Linked DNA regions of Notamacropus eugenii. The protein of the gene in region 2 interacts with the protein of the main gene of each other region in a pairwise test. Links are inferred from orthologs where the notes say so. Each region holds a gene or a part of one and is shown on either strand. Other genes may lie near its edges.

The links.
Region 1: the proteins of KATNAL1 (region 2) and KATNBL1 interact in binary tests that used the Homo sapiens proteins (3 or more experiments, as listed by UniProt). The two-hybrid records come from large-scale screens. The link is inferred for Notamacropus eugenii from reciprocal best matches to the Homo sapiens genes KATNAL1 and KATNBL1.

What each region holds. Positions count from the first base shown.
Region 1 is NC_092878.1:17,341,729-17,349,572, forward strand, and holds the start of KATNBL1 (KATNB1-like protein 1), read left to right. Parts: upstream 1-4,747; 5' UTR 4,748-4,867; intron 4,868-5,987; exon of another isoform or gene 5,988-6,054; intron 6,055-7,844.
Region 2 is NC_092876.1:198,844,470-198,852,532, reverse strand, and holds the start of KATNAL1 (katanin p60 ATPase-containing subunit A-like 1), read left to right. Parts: upstream 1-4,777; 5' UTR 4,778-4,999; intron 5,000-8,063. UniProt on the Homo sapiens protein: Regulates microtubule dynamics in Sertoli cells, a process that is essential for spermiogenesis and male fertility. Severs microtubules in an ATP-dependent manner, promoting rapid reorganization of cellular microtubule arrays.

The sequences.
Region 1 (7,844 bases), on a different chromosome or scaffold from region 2:
AAGTATCAAATGAGATAATATATGCATATACTCTACTAGTACATATAGTTGCAGATTTAGCAGGCATTGGAGAGTTGTGTAAATCAAATAAAAGTTAAGTAACTTGTCAACGTACCAGTTTCTTAAAAAGTGAAGGGTTCCATATCCTCTTTTTATTGTTTTCGGTCTCTCCCAGCGCTATTTGGTCCATGTATTAGACACCCAGAGGAATGACTTTGATTCAATTTGATCCAATTCAAGTAAACTTTGGCCTCTCAGAATATAAGTTCCTTAAGGGCAGGGACTCTTTGCACTTCATCTCATCCCACCCTGTTTTCTTAGTAGATTGCATTTTTAATCATTCCCCCTCTCCATAGAATCTTCTTCCTATCAACTGGTTCCTTCTCTACTGCCTTCAAATATGCACAAATCTCTTCCATTTCAAAAAAAACAACGCACCCACTTAACTAGATCCTACCTTTTCCTCAAGTTATCATCCTATAACTCTCCTCTCTTTCTTAATCAAACTCTTTGAAACAACTATCTGCTGTTACTTCCTCTACTTTCTCTCTTCTCACTCACTCCTTAATCTCTTTCAATATGGCTTCTCGTCTTATCACTCAACTGAAACTGCTCCCTTCAAAGTTAACAGTGAACTCTGAATTAATTGCCAAGTCTTTGTCTTTCATATTCTAATCTTTCCAGTTCTGTACTGTAATAGCTGCTAAATCTTGTGTGATCCTGACTATGCTGCCTCAGTATAAGGAGTCTATTACTTGGACAAGGTTTATTTGTTTGTTTTTTAACCTCTTATACTGTTTTTAATTCTTTCCTCTGAAGCTTTCATTTATTTTCTAATTCTTTCCTCAAGTAGTCTCATTTCGTTTATAAAATCATTGAAACTTAAAACCTTCTTTCTTCACTTATTCCAGGAATTCTAACTGACCTTGTGTCTAAGCTGTTTCTTTTGGAGGCTTTGCATGTACATATTTTGGAATCATTTTTTTCTTCTGGGTTTGTGTCTTTGGAGATCTTATTTCCATCACAGCTCTTCATCCTGGGAGACTTTTTATGTATACTTATTTTTTCTAGTGTACCTCAAACAGTTTAATCTAGGGTAAAGTCTATATACTGCCCTCCTGCTCTGAGCTTTGAGATCTCCTATTTCAGAGCAGTTTCTGCCTTAACCCAACTGCTTCTTGCTCTAGTAGACTACCAGTTTAAGCTTTATGTTTAGTCCTTTGGCTAGAAGGTTCTGCATGGCACCTTCCTGTCTAGACCTCATCAGCAATGCTCAGGGATCTCTGTCTCCTTATTATGAACTGAGCTGGAAAAAGGCTTACTCTGTTTTCTGTTTAGAGTTGCTGATGGCACTATTCATAGACCTTTGTTGGAATAGCTTTAGGAGAGAGCTGGGGAGCACAGCTTCCTCCTGTTTTGCTATCTTTGCTGATTTCTCACTTGGACCAGGCTTTAAAGGATGGTTAGGAATTTAACAGGCACCTTTGTGTGCCTTTCTGAGCTCAAGAGGGATGAAAATCCTGTTTGAGTGAACTCTCCATATCCACCACATTCTCGAAGGCTTCAAGATATACCCACAACTTCCAGCTTTCCTCAGGGACAAAGAGGTACAAGCCTCATTTATTGCCAGTGTACTTTAGGAAAGCCTTAGAGGTAACATACACTTTAGCTGTTGCAAGAGCAAATCTGCCCCAAATTAAGAGAGATTGGAAAAATTTCTTGAGCAGTTTCTCCAAAATTCATACATACCCTTTACTAATTACTTTGATATCAGAGCCAGTTCCTTCTAAGGAATCAGGATTTGTTTTTGTTTGTTTTTGGTTTTTCATAGCCAGGGCTATACAGCACTTTATGATTGAGGTACCAGATGGTAAGTAGCTGAATGTTGGTCTAACAGATTTTCATGGATGACTATTTTAAAACTTGATAAAATATAAATATCTATGACTTAAAAGGCATGAACACTAGAACACTATCAAGATGAAATCATGTTTTTTAATCAGGCTTTCTCCTTAATCCCCTTCATTCTGGCTTCCAACCTCACCACTCTAAAGAAACTGTTCTTTCCAAGGTCACCTAATCACCAAATTAAATAACCTGTTTCTTTCCTCATTCTCCTTGACCTTGATGCCAATTTCAGGCTTGCTGACTATGTCTCCTTCCTTAGTTTTCTGACTCCTTTTTCTCTAGTTAATCCTTCTCAGCCACTGTAGCTTGTCCCTTTTCTTCTTTCTGCCCTCTTAAGTGTTGGCATTCCCCTTGTTTTCCTTCTTAGTGCTTTTTCCTATGAACTTTCTTTTACCCACTCCCATTTCTTTATTGTTCACTATTTTAGGACATGACTTCCAAAAATAATTTCCTTGCGTGACAGCTTTTTCAAGCTCACAACCTACATTTTCATCTGTCTTCTTTGAATTTTTATGTCATTATATCACATTCAAACACAATATGTCCTATAGTTGTTCTGTAGGATCTCAAACTCATGTCTAAAACAAAACTTATCTTTTCTTCCCTCCTCCATTTACTTCTTTTCAGAATTTCCCTATTTCTATGGAAACTGCCTAGGTTCATAATTTCTATGTCATCACTAACTCTTTTTTTCCCCATCTCACATGCCCAAATGTCATGTTTTATGGGCTGTCTTCACGGCATTTATCACGTATGTCCCCTTCACTCATACAGTCACCACCACAATGCTGTCATCTCCTCTTGCCTGGACTAGGTCCCAATTGATTTTTTCTCTCTACTCTCTCTCTCTCTCTCTCTCTCTTTCTCTCTCTCTCTCTCTCTCTCTCTCTCTCTCTCTCTCTCTCTCTCTCTCTCTCTCTCTCTCTCCACCCCTCTTCCTCACTTCTCTCTAATCCATTATCCTTCACACAGATGTTACAGTATTTTTCATAAAACACTGATCTATGTCTCTCTCCTACTCAGTAAACTCCAGTGGGCTCCCTCTTGCCTTTAGGATCAAATACAAACTCTTCTGCTTATCATTTAAAGCTGCTCACAACCTGGCCTCAATCTGATCTTCACATACCCTACAGTCCAGACAAAATGGTCTTCTTGTTTTTCCTTACATGTGGCATTCTATTTCCTATGTCTGTGCTTCTGTACAAGCTGTCACCCATGCCTGGAATGTACCATCTCCTCGCCTCTGCCTTTTAAAATCTCTAATTTTCTTCAGACTTCAGCTTAAACACTACTTTCAAGATAAGGACCTACTTGACCCCCGCAGTTGCTAGTACTTCTCCCCCATAATTATCTGGTGTTTATTTTGTATGTGTTTATATGTGTAGAGGTTGCCTGTCCTCCCAAAAGAACATAGATTCCATAAGCTCAGAGACTTTCATTTTTATCTTTGGATATAGGGTATGCCACAATGTCTACCACATAGTAGGTTCTTAATAGATACTTTTTGATTAATTGTTGTCCAAAACCAAACCCATCTTCCTCTTCTATCTATCTAGTCCTCCCAATTTCAATTCAATTTGATTCAATTAAACAAGCATTTATTAAGTTCCAACTATGTGAAAAGTACTAGACTAGAGGATATAAACACAGGAATTTAAAAGTCTCTCCCAGCTATGAGTTAGTGCAGAGTTTAATGTCTTTTTTTTTTTTTTGTGGGGGGAGGAGAAGTTGCATTCTCACTTGAGGTCATTTTCTTATACTGAGTTATACTTGGAATCAATTGTCTTTTTTATTTGTTTCTTTTTTTAAGACAATTTTATCCAATTTTATTTTATTTTTTAATTGAATTATTTTATTTGTTTTCAGTGTTTGACAATGACTTCCATATATCTTAGATTTTTTACCACTCCCTCCCCGTCTTAGAATCAATTGTCAAAAGTCACCCACATGATGAGGACAGGAAGCTATTAACCAAGTCTACATCCCTATACTCTCCACTCATCTGTTCCCCATGGATATTGCCTCCTCTTGAAAGCAAAGGTGGTCCTAGTTGTAGGCTGAATGGTTAACTGGTTTGATTTGAGGGACTTTAGGAAAGTTCAACTTACCCCAAAATATTTCCCCTGATAGTTCATTTACACTTTTCTGGAACTTAAGTAAGTCACTTTATCTTATCGGACCTCAATTCCCTCAGTTATAAAGTGGATCAGATGGTCTCCACGCTCCCTTTTAGAACTAAAATACTGTGAATTTTTTGGTAAGTTCTCTTGGTTGAAGGAACCTCCAGGAGAATGTCTGCTTACTTCAGGATCTTGTTGGTGGACAGTTCCACTTAAGAGTCATCCCCTTAAAGAGTCATCCTTGGGTTCAAACCCCACTCCTGAAGACGTCACTGAACCTCTCAGTCCCCATTTCCTTACCTGTAAGATGAGGTGTTTGGACTAGAGAGATGTTACGGTCCCGTCCGGCTCTAAGTTGGTGATCTATATAACTGGAGCATGAAAAGGAGAGTTCTGTTCTGGTGCATTATCCTCATGGTGGTGTGGAGATCAGAAGGTTGCAACAGGGAATTTAGGGATGAGGAACTGGTTTTTGCCTCTTTTTATCCCAGCGCTTATACCACAGGGCCAGGTACAAAGCAGGCGCTTAAAAACGTTTATTGAATTGAACACTATGGGTCCAGGGTTCCAGCCCTAGGAAAGAGCCATAGGGACAAAGCGCCTGCCGCGCGCAGATATTGCCACCAGGGGGCGATATAGCGGAAAGTGGGGCGCTGGAGCCCTTGACATGCGGGCTCCTCCCCCTCCTCCGTCCGAGGGGCGGGGCCGAGGTGCTATCCCGGCTGGCCGCGCGGCGGCTTTTGAATGGCGCTGCCTGGGGGCCGCACTGTGGGGACCGCGGAGGCGCTCTAGGCTGTCGGGGCCTAGCTGGGGAGGCGCCGCTGGACCATGAGCCGCCGGTGAGTGGTTTCTCACTGCCCAGCCCGCGTCCGGCCAGCTTCGGAGGCCTCGCCCTGCGCCCTCCGCTGCCCGGCCCTGGGGCGCTGTCTCGCCGCTCCCGCTGGGCCTGACTCCGGGGAAGAGGCCGCCGCCCCCTTCCCTGTCGTGAGCGCGCGCGGGGCGCGGGGCCGCGCACTGGGCCGGCCTCTGGGCAGGGGGCTGGGGGGCTGGGGAGCTGGGGAGCTGGGGAGCTGCGGAGGGGGCCCCGAGGAAGCCGCCTCTGACGGCCCCGGGCGGGGAGCCGCGCGACCCGGAGAGCCGGGCCCCGCCGTCACGTACGGCTCGATCCTTTGGGTGGAGCTGACAGCTGCGGGGTGCTTTAAAAAGAACAAAACCCCCCAAACCCTTGTGCGGGGGGTGCGGGGGGAGACCCAGGGTGTTCCGGGCGGGCCCCTGAAGAGCGCTGAACCCGCTCCTGCGGAGAGCGCCCCGTGCCCGCACGCGGGGCTTCTCCGCTGGCACTTTGGCATCTGTCTCTTCTTTTCTGGTTGTTTTTTCTTTAAGTTAAGCTTTTGTTGGGCCGGAGAGAAACTTGGAGTAGTTGCATAAAATGTGCTGACTGCGCCCTTGAAAACGCTTATTGAGTATTTTCTGAGAAGTTGTTCTTTGTTACAGTATCGGGCATGGTAACTTCTTAGGTGACTTCCATAGAGAGGTAACAAAGAGTTGTTTTGTGTTTCTTTTCTTGTTGCCTTTTGAAGTTCCTTGAAAACAGAACTGTCCCAGCTGCTTGCTGTGTTACTTTGTAACACACAGAAGACACAGACACACACACTCTCTCTCTCTCTCCCGGAAGGGAGACTGATTTTTAAGGATTTCGATCTTTCCATTTTAACCCTTACAAACGGGCTGGAATCTCACTCTGCATTGAAGTAGCTTCAAATACAACGCCCTGGAATTTTGCACTAATGGTAGTTCTGTACTTTAAAATATTTAACACACTATAAAATGTTTTCTAAAATGACCGACATCTCTATTACAATGTTAACAGACGTGCAAAAGCCCCGAGCAAACAATGTCAGACAACTCTAATCAGAACTCTAATCTCAAATATGAGGAGTTCACTGTAAGAACATCCATGGGGGTTTTGGATGTTCTTTGAAGTCGGGCACCTCTGTTATTGAAGAATGCCACTGGATTTTCCAAGGTGAATGTGCTTGATAAGGTTATCTGTTTAAGGTTTCCCAGGGAAATGCTTTACAAGTGTTAACTCATTTGATCCTTATAACTCTGGGAGATAGGTGCTATCAAACCTCATATTACCGTTGAAGAAACTGAAGTAAACTGAAATTGTGATGTGTCCAGGGTCATACAGCTAATAAGCGTCTGAGGTCAAATCAGGTCTTCTAGATGCCTGACCCTGTTCTCTCTTCACTGGACCACCAGTTGCCCCTAGATAACGTTGTAGTCTATTAAAAGAGTAAGTGTAATTATCTAGATCAAGTTTTTTCCCCTGAAATACATTTTTAAAATTTTGTATTTCTTTTGTTCCCACATAAAGTAGGTGAGTTTTTGGCTATTGTTTTATTTAGTTCGTTCTTCTAAGTCTTTTAAAGCAAATTTATTTTGGGGGGGGGCGGACAAATATGTTTACATGCGTTAGATTCTAGTTTCTTTGATTAAAGAAAAAACAATTCTGACATAAAATATGTTGAATGCCTTTATTTGACAATGTGAGAAGAGAATGTAATTATTTTACAATATTTTTTTAATGATGCTGAAGTATGATGCCTTTGACTAACTACTCCAACAGACAATGTTAGCATATTTAGTTATTAGCTTTAGCACTTAATGGAACGTAGGTTCTTATTGGAAAATAGATTGATGTTTGGGGAAGTGATTTTGTTTTCCTTTTAAAAAAAAAAGGAAGAGCAAATCATAAATTTTATCTGGATTTGTTTTTTTTAAAAGTCAGACTTATATTCTGTACTCATAAGGTCCTCAAAATGTGTATAAAATTGATGGATTATTTTTCAACACATGGCTTGAACCACTTAAGTTGATATGGGAGTTAATTTCCTGAAAGATTGTGTTTATATGGTCTGTTTTTTCCTGTACCTTTGCTTTCACTATCTTGCCATTGTTTCATTTAATTTATACACTGCATAGGGGAGAATAAGTCTAATTCTGGGCTAGTCCACTATTCAGAAAGTGGGAGATCAAGTTCTTGGTGGGAGAGTGGAACCTAGAACGGTTCCCTCCACCCTTTCCCACACTCCCTCAAAAAAATCTGCCCCTCAATTAGAAATTGTTACCTCACTTTGACAGAATTTTGGCATTTCTTCTAATCAGAGATTCATTTGGGTTGAATAAAGAAATAAAATTCTTTTTGTGAATGTTCTTGTAAAGGCTGTCAGTCTTTACCACTTTGATTAGTTGAGCTTATTTTCTTCTGAACTACAAGAGTTTTTGTGGATCAGGGGATTAATTTGGGAAGATTGAGACACTGAGGAGAGGGCTTTGGGTAGCAAGTGGCCTTTAAAAACCTAGTGGTATGAGGGAGATAAGGAAAGGGATGTAAACAGGGTGATCATGCTTACAACTTTGTCTAGGGCTGGCCTTTTGCCTCATCTAGCAGGGGACATAGTAGGAGTACAGGTATGATATTCATTATTGGTTCTGGTGATGATTCTGGAAAGCTAGATTTGGAGAGGGTAAGATTGAACATCTTTGTGTCAATCTTCCTTTTCTCCCCTCCCTGAAACCCTTCCCTCCACCCCCCATTACCCTGTGCTGAGTCATATACTCCCTGAATGTTATCATAATGGAAATATCTCCAAATTTTAGATTTATAGGTTTTAGGGCCAATGCTATTTCTTTAGTGTGCCTAAAGATTTTGTCTTAAGAAAATGAGGAATGATCTGTTAAAAGAAGAAAAAAAGGATTATGAGTTGCTGCTTTTTGCATTGTTTTTTTCAATTTCTGTATTTCATAAGG
Region 2 (8,063 bases):
TTCCCAGCGTTGTTGTGAGGATCAAATGAGATAATACTTGTAAAGTGCTTAGCACAGTGCTTGGCACATAGTAGGCACTATATAAATATTTATTATTATTATTAGAAAGTGGAGATGTTTGCCCTGAAGAAGAGAAAACTTGAGAGGTGACATGATATTTTTTTCTAAGTTTTAAAAGGCTATGATTTGGGTAAGGAATTAGATTTATTTTTCTGAATAATGGGTAAATACATAAAAAAAAGTTCCCAGCAATTATAGCTATCCAAAAGGTGTTTTAGTGGATGGAGCGCTGGGCCTGGAGTCAGGAAGACTCATTTTGTCAGTTCAAATCCGGGCTCAGACACTTACTAGGTGTGTGACTCTGGGCAAGTTACATTTGCCTCAGTTTCCTCATGTGTAAAATGAACTAGAGAAGGAAATGGCAAACTACTCCAGTATCTTTGGCAAGAAAACCTCAAATGGAATCATAAAGAGTCTGACTTGACTGAAAAATGACTGAAGAACTGAACGAAAAGTGGAATGGGATTGCTTCTGGAAGCAGTGAGTTCTTTAGCACTGGAGATTTTCCGAGACTGAGTGATCATTACTCAAGGGCCCTGTAGAGGGCATTCATGTTCAGGTACATGCTTTTTGAAGAACATGGCTAATGGGACTGGAAAGAGATGTAAATGTCCCAGTTTTCAAAAGGGGAAAGAAAGTAGGTAGGAACATTTAGGTTTGATGAGCTTAATGTCAGTTCCTGGTAAAATTCAGAAATAGATTATTAAAGGAACATGTTGTGAGCACTTTGAAAGGGAGGATGTGATAACTAAGAGTAATCATAGGTTTATTAGGGATGAGTCATGCCAGCCTAACTCGATTTCCTTTATTGACACGATTGCTATATTAGATCAGAGAAATGCTATAGACATGGAGAGTTTATCTGGATTTTAGTCAGGCATTTGAAGGAGGGAAGGAAACGAGTATTTAATACATACCTGCTATGTACCAGGCACTGTGTTAAATGCCTTACAAATATCTTGTTTCCAGTCTTTTGACAGTCTGTTTGACAGTCTTTTGCAATATCTATATGGACAAAATGGAGAAATATGGACTGGATAACAGCACAATTGTGGGGTTTAGAATGGGTTACCTGGATTCAGAGAGCTTTCATTAGTTGATTCATGTCAACTTGAAGAGAGGTGTCCAATGGAGCATCTTAGGTCCTGTCCTTGGCCCTTTTCTCTTCAATATAACATAAAACTTGAGGGATTACTAATATAATGGGTAAAAAAATTGAGATCCAAAAGGATTTCAGTAGACTGGAAGAGCGAGATGAAGTAAAGAAGATGAAATTTGATAAGAATAAATGTAAAGTCCTATACTTCGATTAAAAAATCAATTGTACAAATAAAAGATGTAGGGATCAGGTAAGGGGGAGGGAAGAAAACTGTGATTAGATAGCAGGTCCTATGAAAAAAAACCTGGGATTCCTAGGAGACTGAATATGAGTCAGCAGTTACAGTTAATAGTTTCTATTGAAATTTTTTATTTCTATTCTAAATTCTATTGAAATTTCTATTTCTATTTCTTGAGGGTAAGGACTGTCTTCTGCCTCTTTCTGTAACCTTAACACTTAGCTCAGTGTCTGGAATATAGCAGGTGCTTATTAAATGTTTATTGAACAATTGATTGAAAATTACCTATAGAGAAGTACCTAGTATAGCTAGGACTGGACTTGGAGATGGAACACCTGAATTCATGTCTTTGTTCACAGAAGCTAGGCTGCTTTTGTTATGAGCTTGATGCTCATCACTGGGCGATCTTTGTCTATTAAGTAAACTCACATGGTATAATTTAGATCGGCAAGGTAGAAGTTTTTGGTTGTTGATCAGCCATCTTTCAGTCATAACTGACTCTTCATGATCCCATTTGAGTTTCTTTTTCTGACAGAGATGTGAGAGTGGTTTGCCATTTCCTTTTCCAGCTCATTTTACAGATGAGGAAACTGAGGTAAACAGGGTTAAGTGACTTGCCCTGGCTCACACTGCAAGTGAATATTTGAGCCTGGATTTGAACTCTGGTCCTCCTGAACCCAGGTCTGCTGCTCTGTCTTCTACTTCACTTGCTTTCCTATGTAAATCATATATTTCCCCATTAGATTGTAAATTCTATAAAAGCAGGTACTATGCCACTGACTACCTTTATATCCATAATGCCTTGGATGTAGTAGGTATTTAGTACATATCTATTGAATTAACTTGAACGATGTTCAAATTGGGGTATGACATTTCCTTTAAAAATCATTATTTTTGGCAATGTCTTTTGTTTTCATATTACCATTTCAGAATACATCTCTCCCCCTTACACTAGCAAGCCATCCCTTATAACAAAGATTCTAAAAGAGAAAAAAACAGTTCAGAAAAATCATTCTGCACATCAGTTGTGTCTGATAGTGTGTGCTATCCATGTCTATGATCTCCATCTTTGCAAAACAGGAAGGGAAATGAACACCATATTTCATGAAGTGGGTTGATGTTGACCTGACCCAAGTGGACTGAGCTGAGTGGGTGGGGTGTATTTATGTCTATTTATATAAATCTGCAAGAACCAAAGCAGCAGTTTTCTGAAGAAAATTCATTTTTGTCCTTTAATGCAGTCATTTCTCCCGTTCACTCTTAGATCTAAACCTCCCTTATGAAAACTGAAAATAATTAAGCAGAATCATCTGATAGAGGAACCTTGACTCACAGTGTGTATAGAATTTTGTCCAATTCCATCAACTCTGTGCCACTAGGGAGAAAGCTGAAGAGGCTTGCCTCCAAAGGCTGTGAAATACAACTCTGAACAGTCAAGAGCAAGGCCATGGAACTAGATCTAAGTGAAAATCAAAGTCCAAATTGAGAAGATAAATTCAGTGTCAGGGAGGAGCTAAGTAGAAGGGAAAGCATCCCACAGCTGGTGAAAGAGTGGCTGTCACTTAGTTTAAGAACCTTTATCAACCCTTGTGCTTTTACTGTCCCTTCTCTTCCCTCCTCAATGGAACACACACAGTCACCCAATTGTACGTCTCCTTCTAAGGCATCTTAGCAAATTCCTTTTGACTGCTTAAGAAGTTGGGGTCCTAATCAGGAACAGAGGGAGAAATGAGGTGAAGAAAAATCCTTCAGTCTTCCGATAAGGGATGAGAGGTTAGAAAATCTCAGGAGGTAAGAAGAGGTAACAGTTTGTAAGCCCAAGGAGACATAAATGAATTGGAACCTAAGGTTATCACTGTAAAATTGAACGGGTGAAAGTGATTTCTATTGAAATTTTTTATTTCTATTCTAAATTCCATTGAAATGTCTATTTCTATTCCTTGAGGGCAAAGACTGCCTTTTGCCTCTTTTTGTACCCCTAGCACTTAACTCTGCCTGGAACATAGTAGGCGCTTAATAAATGTTTATTGAATTATTGATTGAAAATTACCTATAGAGAAGTGCCTAGTATGGCTAGGACTGGATTTGGAGACAGAGTGCCTAAATTCATGTCTTTGTTCACAAGATTCTGGGGTAATAGATCTAGAAGTGGAAAGGACTTTAGGGATGAGTGATAGATGATTCATCATCCACCTCTCCCCTCTTCCCTCCTTACTTTACAGATAAGGAAACAAAGGAAGCTCAGTGACTTGGCTGAGGTCACACTTGGTAGTGTCAGGGGTGAGATTTGAACCCAGGCCCTCAGATTCTAGAGTTGGCCTTCTTCCCACAGTACTACACTGCTTCCATGATGTTGCTGTCAATGACCAGCTCTGTAAATCTGGGCAAGCCAATCCCTTCTCCAAGTCTCTGATTTTTTTCTCTGAGAGGAGCATAAGAACACTTATGCTTGTGTTTGACTATATCAGTGTGAAGATCGAATGAGTTTATACAGATTAAGCATTTTGTAAATTGTAAAGCACCATATAAATGCACTTTTACAATTCTTAACAAACCATGTCTGGATAACTCCAGACTCCTGAATCAGTATAGCTAGAATTCATGAGAGTTTATTATATTTTGTTTTTAGTTATCAACTTTTGAAGGATTTTAAGGTGCATCTCTTTGTGAAAGCTTCCCTTGAACTAGAGGAATTCATTTAACACAATTTGAGGCCACGCATCCAATTTCCCATTTATTAACATTGAGGTCATGGATGATACTTCTCTCACATCTCTCTATCTAAAACTGTCCACATCACAATCCCATGCCTCTTGGCTATATTTTCTACTATCTTCTATTTCACCTTTCCCCCATGCCTTCTTTATATACTTTCCAATTGTTTCATATCTGACTTTTCTTGCTATTTACTAACCCTCCTGTCTTGCCACCCTTTTATTTTCCCTCCTCCGCCCCAATTCCCATTCCATTTTGGAATTTGCTTAGCCTTCTAATTTTAGATCACAGTTAGAATCACAGAATCACATAGGTGGAGACCTTAGAGATTATCTAGTTCTCTTAATTTATAGATGAGGAAATTAGTTAGTCTGAGGACCGGGACTCTATAAACCAAGTTGCTTCACTTCAGCATGTTGAACTCCATATATGTGTTCTAGTCTATTTTTAAAATTTGTTTGTTCTTTGTACCTTCAGGATGGACTATTGGGAAGAGAAGGGAATAAATATGTATATAGTCCTTATTTGTTATTGCTTGTCTTTTGTTTTTGAAGAGGACCCAAGACATCACGGATGATGTCTCAACTTTTCCATGAACTGGACTTAAGTGAAGCAGAACTGCAAAAAGTCACCAGCCTCACTCTCTCTTCCAGAGTCATCAAAGTCCAGAGGCAAGACAAAAGTCAGGATGACTGGCAATGACCTGGGATGCAGTGGATGATCTTGGGGACTTTGAGGTCTGACCAAGCTCTAGGTGCTCTACAATGACTGCTTTAGCCACCTTCATGGCCCTTGGAACAAATTGTTCTCATCTGCCGTTCTACCAGGGGAAGTCTTTACATGCTTGGAGCAGATCTCCCCCTACCTCACTGATGGGTTTGAGGCCGGTAAGTTTAGCGCTTTTGCCTAGATAGTTTTACCAGGGTGTGACCACTGCCTATGCTACAGCTTCTTGGAGCTACAGGTGTACTGTTTTTTGTTTTATTGTGTTTTTCATTTTTAATCTCTCTTGCCTTTTAATTGTTCCATTTTTGGTGCCTACTGGTCTGGTAACGCATCTCTTGGACAGAGCTTCTGGATCCAAACAAAAGCCATTGGGGGAAAGGCGGACACCAAAGGTGAATGAGCAGTGCTAAAAAGTGACCAGCAAGTCCCCACAGCAGAGTCCTCCCACAGCCCTTACACAGTACCCAGAACTGTGCTAAACACATTACAAAGAACATCTCAATCTCATTCTTGCAGCAATCTAGTCAGGTAGATGCTGTTATTAAGCCCATTTTATGATATAAAAAACTGAGGCAGATAGATGTAAAGTTTTTTTGCCTTTTTTTTTTTTTTTACAGTTGATGGCTTCCCTTCTTATGCTACTTGTTTTATATACTTTATTAAAAAGAACAATCTTATATAACATTGGCAAGGTAGGTGGGGAAACAAAAGGGAAGGCCAAAGGACTTGCTCAGGGTCATACAGCTACTAAGTGTCAGAGGTCAGATTTGAACTCTGGTCTTCTTGACTCCAGGCTCTTTCTCCTAGGCTCCCTAGCTGCCTGTTATCCAAGTCTCTCTCCTTCCTGCTTTGGAGTTGTGCATTCTTTCTTCTTATTGCACACAGTCAGAAGCTCCAGACCTAGCTGTATCTCCACAACATCATCTCATATCACAGACAACAAGGTTGTTGATGGTCCGACCACCTACCTTCTGCAGGATTGTAAAAATTCCCATCAGTCACCCTATGGACCATGGTTCCAGACTGGCTTTTGGTTGCATTCATATTCTTTTTATTGTCCCATTCTTATTTGTGGAACTGAAATGAGGAATTCTGACACCTGTAGGAAATTCACTTCAGGAGGATCACAAACGGGAAGAGCCATGGGACATATCTCGTGACACAAGATTCTGCAGCAGGAGAGAAATCTTGGAAACATCATGCCCTGGGGGAGAGACAGAGACTTCAGGATATCAGCGGGACAGGACCATGGAAGGCAGGAGAAGAGTAGGGCCAAGTTATGGAAAGTTCAGTGGGACTGTGGGAAAGCTTTGGGCTAGAGGAAAGTCGAGGGGATGAGCAGGGCTGTGTGTGGCCTAGGACCTTAGGGGCTTGAATAGAGAAGGCTCAGTTCAGGGAGATGCGCCAGAGGTTCCCTACTGTAAATGTGTCCTTGGACAATACCTCGGTAATTCTGTCCTAGTTATGGCCATGGCTGTCTGTGTTGGGACTACTCTTGGCCCTGCAGCAACTTCTATCAGAAATAGTTTCCTAATGGCTTTGTTGAGCACTTTTGAAGTTCCAGGCAGTGGGCTGATCTGCTTGCTGTCTCTTTTCAAATCATCCCTGAAATTTGTCCTTTTCTCTTTGTAAACCTTTAAGGGCTATATAAATGTAGAGGGTGCTGGTTTTTGTTTTTAAATCTCCTTTGCCCTTTAATTGTTCCGTTGTTTGGTCCCAACTAGTCTGGTAATGCATCTCTTGGACAGAGCTCCCAGATGCAAACAAAAGATAAGGGAGAGACACTTGAGAAACTGGAGACTGAGAAGAGAAAGGGGATTATCTCTTTGTGGTTAGACTAGAGGAATGTTTATGTGGTTGTTGTAAATGTTAACTTATCTGGACTAGAGCAGACTTTTGTGGGGAAGGCATGGCAGAGCTGAAAGCCCAAGCCCAAAGACAGATGTGGTCATGATTCTTGCCAACGTGACTTAAGGGACAGATAGCATGGCCCATCATAAAACCTCATTAGGCCTGCCAGGTGAATGAGGAAAGGGGGGAGATTTGTTGTCCTGGTTTAAGCAATGCTGTTATCTCTAGATTGTGTCACGGCAGTGTTAGAGGTCTGTTTGAAGATTTCAGTTTACTTTTAGTGGCTTTGCTTTCCTTTCTGAAGAAACATTTCAGCAAGTATCCTTATTACCGGCTAGTTCTCAGAAAAGATTGCAAATATTAATGTCCCTCGAAAAAGTAAAATTCATCTTAACATTTTCCACTCTTTCCATTAGATGAGAAGGGATTAAATGTTATGTAAAAACAGTCTTGGTTTTCTTTAGTGGGAAAGTTGAATGTTAGCGGAGGGACAGAGAAGGGAATAATCACTTATATATTCCCTGCTAATAATAATTTATATAGCCCCTAGTATTATTTTGATCAGAGGCGCATAGGTAGTGCAGTGGATAAAGCACCAGGCCTGGAGTCAGGAAGATTCATCTTCTTAAATCCAAATCTGACCTCTTACACTTACTTGCTGGGTGACCTAGGTAAGTCACTCAAGTCTGTTTGCCTCAGTTTCCTTATTTGCAAAATGAAGTGAAGATGGAAATGACAAAACACTCCAGTCTCTTTGCCAAGAAAACCCCAAATGGTGTCATAAAGAATTGGATGGACCCAGTCAAACAACAAAAAACTATGTGTCAGGCACAGTGTTATATGTTTTTTACAAATATGATCTCATGTGATCCTCACAACCCTGGATGGTAAGTGCCATTATTAACCCCATGTAACAGATGAGTAAACTGAGGCAAACAGGGATATGCAGCTAGTAAGTCTCTGGGGCCAGATCTGAACTCAGGTCTTCCTGATTCCATGCCCAGAGCTCTAACCATTGTACCACAGCTGCCTTCATACTTTACATCAGCTGTGTTTTTCTGTGGTTGAAAAATGAATTTAAAATATAGGAAAAATCCAAGAAGTTTCTGGGTAAGACAAGGTGCTGCAAATGTGATACTCTCTTCTGTGTTTCAATTTTAGTTTAGATATTCATTCAACAAATATTTATTGAGTTCTGACTAATTGGAGAGCTGTGTTGGGTGCTGTGGTAGACAAAGTGTACTTCATGGTCTCTGTCATTAAGGAGCTTACAGTTTGGTTTTTTTCCAATATTTATTGGTGTCTTCTATTTTTACATCATTGATATTTCCCATTGCACTCCTCCCTTACTTTCTTCCAGAAATCTATTCCTCA